2 linked regions of the Saccharomyces cerevisiae S288C genome follow. Each later gene encodes a partner of the first gene's protein in a complex. Each region holds a gene or a part of one and is shown on either strand. Other genes may lie near its edges. A codon is read from its position in the direction of its gene.

Region 1 (3,403 bases):
TTTTGCTATATGAATTTCTTTCGAATGCCACCTGAATATATCTTGGTAAATTAGCCAGTGATGTATCGTATAAATTATTATGTTCATGGAATGTCTTGGAGTAAAAATCGCTCTGTTTATTCGGGAACAAAGTAGAAAATCTCGAGAATATCATGTAATCTAGGGAATCTGTTTGAACGTTTTTAATCTTTAGGTTTATGAAATGGAAATAAGCATCGGGAACTAAACCCAGGTACATGTATAAAACAATCAGCCAGCACATAGTATCGAAGTTATGAGGGTCCTTGGCTTGGTAATTTTCCAATATCGTTATACACAAAAGCACGTCTTTCAATTCAGGATTAGTTTTCTTGCACTTGTCCTTGACTATTTCTAATAAGAATGTAGAACAGGAGGAATAATCCGTTACCGATTTTTTTTCCAGGGTCCCCTTAAACTTGTTATAGTTATTGATTGAGTCGCTTCCAATAAGTCCCAATTCTAGAATATTACAATGATGAATCAAATCCTTATCCTCTGGATCGTACTTAGACATAATGCTCTTAAGCATATCTATGTTAATGTGGCCGCTGTAATGATTCAAATCGATTGAACAACAAGGTTTGTTATGGTACTTTGATAAATAGTACGACAAAGATGATTCCGAAACCGAATCGGTGTACATTATATCAAGTTTCAAGCGCGCCAATCGAGTATTCCTTGAGTCTCCCAAATTTTCATCAATCCATTGTTTGACTTCGTCTTTAGATTTAGAAAGTTTGTAGGCAGCATCAATCAAGTTTGTGATCAATTCATAATCATCAAGGCCCTTTTCAATAAGTTTTGAACAAACTTCAAAAAGTTTTTGTGGAGAATTCAATAACTTGGTATGCTTCAAGATAAAGTTTTTCAAATACAAGTTTACTGAAGTATCAAAATTGGCAAAGGTAATCGCAACAATCTCTTCCGAGATTTCTCTAGATTGAGGGAATAGTTCATCCAACACCAAACAATAAACTATAATCTCTTGAACATTTTGAAATGGTTTCAAGTCTAACAAAGACTGGCGCGCTAGCCTGGAGAGCAAAATTTTCTTGGGATCTGAAAGAGTGTTTTCCTGAAACCTTGATACGGCTAAAATCGAGATTGCATTCCAAAAATAATATGCTCTTTTAGGCAGGTTTCCACTGTCACTGTATTTAGCTAGCTGTAGAGATGCTTTGCTCATTTGGTTATAATTGGAATCTTCCAATGCTTTCATAAACCAGTGATAAGACAATTCGTAGCTAGGGAATTTGAAATTTCCTCTTTCATACACGTGCAATGCTTCGTCGTATTTCCCTAACTCTACGAAGAAGTTGTGCAAAAACTCCAAGGAACGCGTGTCGCCCGTAATCGTTGTCCCTTTCAGCCCATATGGTTCTTCTAGCAGTTTATTGTAATCGAACTTACCAGGTGACTGCTTGAATTTAACATAGGTTTCCAAAATCTTGAAGTACAACGCATTGGGAAATTGTTTTTGCAATTGCCCCAGTTTTGCATAGCATTGTTTGAAGTTGGACCTGCTTACTAGTCCTAATATCTCCTCCTGTATCTTGTCGGACATGCTTCGATGCGATGATTGCTGTACCGAGCTCGTTATGTATCGTTGCTTCGCCAATGAATTCTGTTGCAGCTGACATTTATTATTTATTTTCCTAAAGCCCTCGGCGGTCCGTGGACAGTGATTTTCGTTAAAGGTGACTGAAAAATTTTAGATGCTCATCGCGATGGTTCTCAAAGAATCTATCACCTAAAAAGATACAGAAATTGCTATAATATTTACGAGTTAGAAGGTTACTTAGCCTTATTTTGCTTCACGTCTTTCTTTATACATTCGTCAGGTGTTGAAAGAGTTCAACCAAAGATGTCTTCTATCTACAAAGCCCTCGCAGGAAAGAGCAAAGATAATAAATCTGAAAAGAAGCAAGGCAATGTCAAGCAATTTATGAACAAGCAAAGAACTCTTCTGATTTCGAGTAGAGGTGTTAACTATAGACATCGTCATTTAATTCAAGACTTAAGCGGATTATTGCCTCATTCCAGAAAGGAGCCAAAATTGGATACTAAAAAGGATCTTCAACAGTTGAACGAAATCGCTGAGTTGTACAATTGTAATAATGTTCTATTCTTTGAGGCCAGAAAACACCAAGATTTGTATCTATGGTTATCCAAGCCGCCAAATGGGCCAACTATAAAATTTTACATTCAAAACTTGCATACTATGGATGAGTTGAATTTTACAGGTAACTGTTTAAAGGGTTCTCGTCCGGTATTGTCGTTTGATCAACGTTTCGAATCCTCCCCACACTACCAATTAATTAAGGAGTTGCTAGTGCATAATTTTGGTGTACCACCAAATGCTAGAAAATCTAAGCCATTTATTGATCACGTCATGTCCTTCAGTATTGTAGATGATAAAATATGGGTGAGGACATATGAGATCTCACACAGTACTAAGAACAAAGAAGAATATGAAGATGGCGAAGAAGACATATCATTAGTGGAAATTGGCCCTAGGTTTGTTATGACTGTCATTTTGATCCTAGAAGGTTCATTTGGTGGTCCAAAGATCTATGAAAATAAACAATATGTTTCGCCAAACGTCGTAAGAGCTCAAATTAAACAACAAGCTGCTGAGGAGGCAAAGTCTAGAGCTGAAGCTGCTGTGGAAAGAAAAATTAAGAGAAGAGAGAATGTTCTTGCCGCCGATCCTTTATCAAACGATGCCTTGTTTAAATAATAAGCATAATACTATCAGAGAGTTTTACATAACATTGTATATTAAAAAGATATAACAAGAAAAGAGTGGATGTAGCAACTGTCTAGTTATAGACCTCTTTTTAATAATTTAATGTTTAAATCTTGAATATCGAAAGCTGTATATATAAAGAATATTTATTGTATGTACAAAAGATCTTCAACCGCGCAGCAATCAAGCTATATTTACGCATCTTGCTTTTCCGAATGTTTCTTTAAGTAGTTTTCAATGAATTTTTCCTCGTCTTTGTTGTCTGTTTTGATGTCGACTGTTTTTGGCTTTGCGCTTTTAAAAGGATTTGGAACAACCAATAAACCTAGCAGTCCTAATGTCCCAATGGCTAGTTGGTGTGGAGGGATAGCTTTCCCCATGAAATGATAAGCAGCACCCATTGTCGTAGTTATAAATTATTATTTGAAGTCACCTGGCCTTATTCAATGCTAACGAGTTATGTGCTCTATGGGGGGACTTGCTCCTAAAAAGCTCTTTTTTTTCCCTTTGCATCGAGAAGCGGACTCTGACCAATCACCATCGAGATCGCGATGAAGTATTTTCTATACCATATTTAGATATAAACCAAAATTAATGCTGGTAAGATGCAGTATAATGGGTTTTACTTATTTA
Region 2 (3,631 bases), on another chromosome or scaffold:
AATCTTCTTAGGCCTGAAATAGATTGTATCACTGCTATTGGCCCTGTTAAAAGCTGGTTCGTTAGCAGGTATATCAATTCCCATTAAGCCTCGTAGATCTCTTCCATAGCTGCGATTCGATGCTGGAGAGTCTGATATCGGCGACGCTGTACCAGAGGAATGTTGTGATGAACGTGATGATGACATCGGACTCCCATTTTGTCGAAGCTGTCGCTGCGACGTAAACATTCGTTCTTTTGGACCGTTTTGCTGAAAAGATTTCTTCGTTAGAGTAATAACAGCGCTTGCTGATTGCGTATCTTCTTACTTGCGTCCCCGATGACCCAAAGGGAACATAAGACCCTCCGTCCCCCATTGACTGTTGTTATTGAATTCAATTATCTAATCTGTTTCCCCCCACTCACAGGAAGAGCGCAACGCCATACACAAAGTTCCGGGACCTTTTCATTCCGGCCATTAATATTAGCGCCGGCGCTAGGGTTTTTGGGCAAAAACATAAGGTCTTTCCCTTTATTTTCCCGTCATCTTGGCAGGGTTACAAAAGCCTTTTAGGGCTTCGTTGGATTTAATTCTATTTTATACTAGTGTACAAAGAGATGATAGATAGTTGTATATACTTTACGTTCTGGATATATACAGTGTTCTTGCCGACATAACGGCTTAGAATCTTCTGGCACGTCTACTCTTTCCTGGTCTATTGGTCTTCCCCTTCATTTTTCTGGAAGAAAAGCCGCTGACATCAGCAGAAGAGGTAGCATCATTCTTCCTCTTGAATCTCTTCATGCCTCCTTGGCCATACTTAGCGTTTTTTGCGGCTCTCTTTCCGTTAGGCCTGCCTCTATCGAACCTTTTTCCTTCAACTTCTTCCTCTACACCGACGTTGAACTCGGAGTGATCGATCTCGTTGTGCTTTCTTTTGTTCTTCAAAGATTTGATCTTTTCCAGTGTTTCTCTTTTCTCCAATTGACGTTTCTGTAAGGTAGCGTTTTGGACTTGCTTACCAAATTTCTTCAATTGCCTTTGTCTTCTAGCTTCTTCACGTGCCTTCTTGTCACTGGCTTCTTCAATCAACTTACCCTTAATCTTGTCCATATGTTCATCACTTTTCACCATTTCAGCAAAATAATCCAATGGTCTTTTGAAGGGTACTTTTAGTCGTTTCAATTCGTCACGTGCTACTAAAACAGCGTCCAGTGATTGCTTGTAAAATGCTAATTCCCTTTCAGTATCATCGTATATGTCCTTAATATGTTCATCCGTATTAGTTTCTGATGTAACGCTTTGGTGCTCTTGGAATGAATGTTTTTTCCATGGCAATTGTACCCTTTCTAAGGCATGTTTCATCGCTTTTGTGTTGTTGACGGTTAGTTTATGATGTGGAACGACATCTGCATCAGAATCAAATTCCACGTCTGACAATGGAACGTCTTGTTCTTCTTCTTGCTCTTCCTTTTCCTCGCTTTCTTCTTTAGCAACGACATCCTCATCCTCTTCAGAATCATTTTCAGACTCAGAATCATCTTCAGACTCAGAGTCACTTTTGGCCAATTTCTCAAGATCCAGTCTTCCTTCTTCTTCTTCTTCTTCTTCTTCTTCTTCCTCTCTATCGTCGCCAGATTCATCTTCATCGCCAGACATATGCTTTTGAGCTTCGGTAGCGTCCTGTTCTTGCATTTTTTTCAATTCTTTTTTCAACTTTCTTTTCTCTTTTTTAGAAAGGGCTTGGCTTTGATATTCTTCAGTATCTGCAGCAACTTCCTTCTTAACATCGGCCTTCTTTTCTTTCTTCTCAAGCTTTTTCAAATTAGAAGCTGTAACGATAGTTGGTTCTTCTTTCTTCAATTCTTGGGATTTCTTTTTCTTTAGGTCATTTTCAAGCTTTTCAGCTTTTTCAATTTCCTTTTGATGCGAAAGCAACTCCTTCAACTTGAAACCTTTAGCCATTCTCTATATACCGTTGTTCAACTAACTGTGCTTTGTTACCGTTTAACTTTTTAACAGCGTAAAATTCTATAAAGCTCATCTCATCTGTATTTAGGCAGAAATAAAAAATTTTCAGTCCCGATGAGTAGTTATATCACTAAATACGAAGTCATATGTAAATTCTGCTGAATAAAAATATTGTGGACATATTGCTTAATTCTTATGCGCCAAGATTTTCACGGTACTAAGCCATTTTCTCTTAATTGAGCGTATAATTCAGCGCTTATATACTTTTCAAGCGTAGGACCATCATTTGACATAAATCCACCTGTAGAAATACCCTTCCGCCTTCTTGTTTTCATCACGAAATCACGACTTAAACTGTTGATAGGTGCGGGTTTCAATTTTGGAATAAACGCATCTTTATCCAAAACATCACCAGGAACCTTCCTCCATATCTTGTGCCAAAAGTACAGCTGACACATACCAAGACCATTCGTAGATAATCTCAAATCTGTCTCGAATCCTGCAGATTCAATAACCGGAACTTGTCCACGAACCTCCAACAATGGTGTCCCTGCCACTTTTATTGTTTTGTATATCCTGCTTCCACGTCTCTTCTTCATAAGTTCCTCTACTATTGGCAGCAAGGGGGCGTGGACCGTGATGTCAACTTCATAGATGGGTTCCAATAAAATTGGGATTGCTGTCAGTAAGCCAACGTAACAGGCTTTTTTCATTAGCGGAATAATTTGACTTTTCATAACGTCAATGTTTACGTCGGAAGGTACTGAGATCGATAACAATTTATACTGTACACCATAAATTGGTTCTTCTGCCAAAGGCCCCTCTTTTACAGCCCAGTAAAATCCTTGTATTATTTGTTCCTTATATTTGGATAATAATTCAGGACTGATTTCATCTGGCAAAGTGTCATTAATCAACACGTTGCCATTATAAAAAGACCAAACGTTTCTTGATGCCAACGAATCCCACCCATACTCGGTTCTCAATATTTTGGATAGTTTCCTTGGGTTGTCCATTATTCCGTCAATATCCAAGCAGTTTTGACCCTTTCCCAATGTGTTCCTGCTCAAATCCTGAATCATTTTAGAGTCCATTGGTTCAGCGGCTACACTAATCGACAGACCTGGTAAATTTTCCTCACCAAGGCGAGATATCGAATTACTTACAGGTATTGAAGCGAACGATTCATTTGAGCAACTTTCAGAAAAAACAGTTAAAGGATCAGATATTTTAATTTCTATCTTTGCATAACTCGCTCTTAGATCATACAACAAACAGTCCATATACAGCTCTCCATTTCCTAGTATTACATGTTCTCCAGATTCCTCAACTTTAATAATAACGCCTGGGTAGTATTTCGAAATTTTGTTCAGGGCATCCAATAACTTGGGTAATTCCCTTGGCAGTAAAGGTTGAAGAACAATTTTGAAAACTGCCTCGGTAATATAATCTAAAGGTTTGAAAAATTTTAGCTGTTTCATGTCCTCCTTACTCTTTACAGAGTACAACGTCGCGGATTTAATATATGCACTTGAAATACCTTTTATTAATACTATCTGTCCTTTGTGTGCTTCATGAACCGGATAGACATATCTGCCACCTAATAAGCCAATTTCTTCGACCTCACATGAAGGCGTTTCGTCATCTTCATCTTCATCTTCGTTGGAGGTTTCCGTCTTTG

Evidence for each region.
Region 2: the proteins of BRX1 (region 1) and EBP2 are in contact, whole or in part, in a crystal structure (PDB 5Z1G), measured with the Saccharomyces cerevisiae proteins. Residues at the interface, in NP_014565.2 of Saccharomyces cerevisiae: Phe27 (codon at 1,964), Met28 (codon at 1,967), Asn29 (codon at 1,970), Gln31 (codon at 1,976), Leu55 (codon at 2,048), Lys103 (codon at 2,192), Asn106 (codon at 2,201), Gly107 (codon at 2,204), Pro108 (codon at 2,207), Met120 (codon at 2,243), Asp121 (codon at 2,246), Glu122 (codon at 2,249), Leu123 (codon at 2,252), Phe125 (codon at 2,258), Thr126 (codon at 2,261), Gly127 (codon at 2,264), Asn128 (codon at 2,267), Cys129 (codon at 2,270), Leu130 (codon at 2,273), Lys131 (codon at 2,276), Arg134 (codon at 2,285), Pro135 (codon at 2,288), Val136 (codon at 2,291), Leu137 (codon at 2,294), Ser138 (codon at 2,297), Phe139 (codon at 2,300), Asp140 (codon at 2,303), Gln141 (codon at 2,306), Arg142 (codon at 2,309), Glu144 (codon at 2,315); in NP_012749.1 of Saccharomyces cerevisiae: Val195 (codon at 1,362), Asn196 (codon at 1,359), Asn197 (codon at 1,356), Thr198 (codon at 1,353), Ala200 (codon at 1,347), Met201 (codon at 1,344), Lys202 (codon at 1,341), Ala204 (codon at 1,335), Leu205 (codon at 1,332), Arg207 (codon at 1,326), Val208 (codon at 1,323), Gln209 (codon at 1,320), Leu210 (codon at 1,317), Pro211 (codon at 1,314), Trp212 (codon at 1,311), His215 (codon at 1,302), Gln218 (codon at 1,293), Glu219 (codon at 1,290), His220 (codon at 1,287), Gln221 (codon at 1,284), Ser222 (codon at 1,281), Val223 (codon at 1,278), Thr224 (codon at 1,275), Ser225 (codon at 1,272), Glu226 (codon at 1,269), Thr227 (codon at 1,266), Asn228 (codon at 1,263), Thr229 (codon at 1,260), Asp230 (codon at 1,257), Ile233 (codon at 1,248).

The regions. Positions count from the first base shown.
Region 1 is NC_001147.6:185,206-188,608, reverse strand, and holds BRX1 (ribosome biogenesis protein BRX1), read left to right. Parts: upstream 1-1,885; coding exon 1,886-2,761; downstream 2,762-3,403. Other genes in the region: MDM20 (Mdm20p), read right to left, coding at 1-1,585; ATP19 (F1F0 ATP synthase subunit k), read right to left, coding at 2,965-3,171; AVO1 (Avo1p), read right to left, coding at 3,397-3,403. UniProt on the Saccharomyces cerevisiae protein: Required for biogenesis of the 60S ribosomal subunit.
Region 2 is NC_001143.9:124,072-127,702, reverse strand, and holds EBP2 (Ebp2p), read right to left. Parts: upstream 1,945-3,631; coding exon 661-1,944; downstream 1-660. Other genes in the region: protein kinase NNK1, read right to left, coding at 1-228; U5 snRNP GTPase SNU114, read right to left, coding at 2,160-3,631. UniProt on the Saccharomyces cerevisiae protein: Required for the processing of the 27S pre-rRNA. Probably involved in the step of the processing of the 27 SA precursor into the 27 SB intermediate.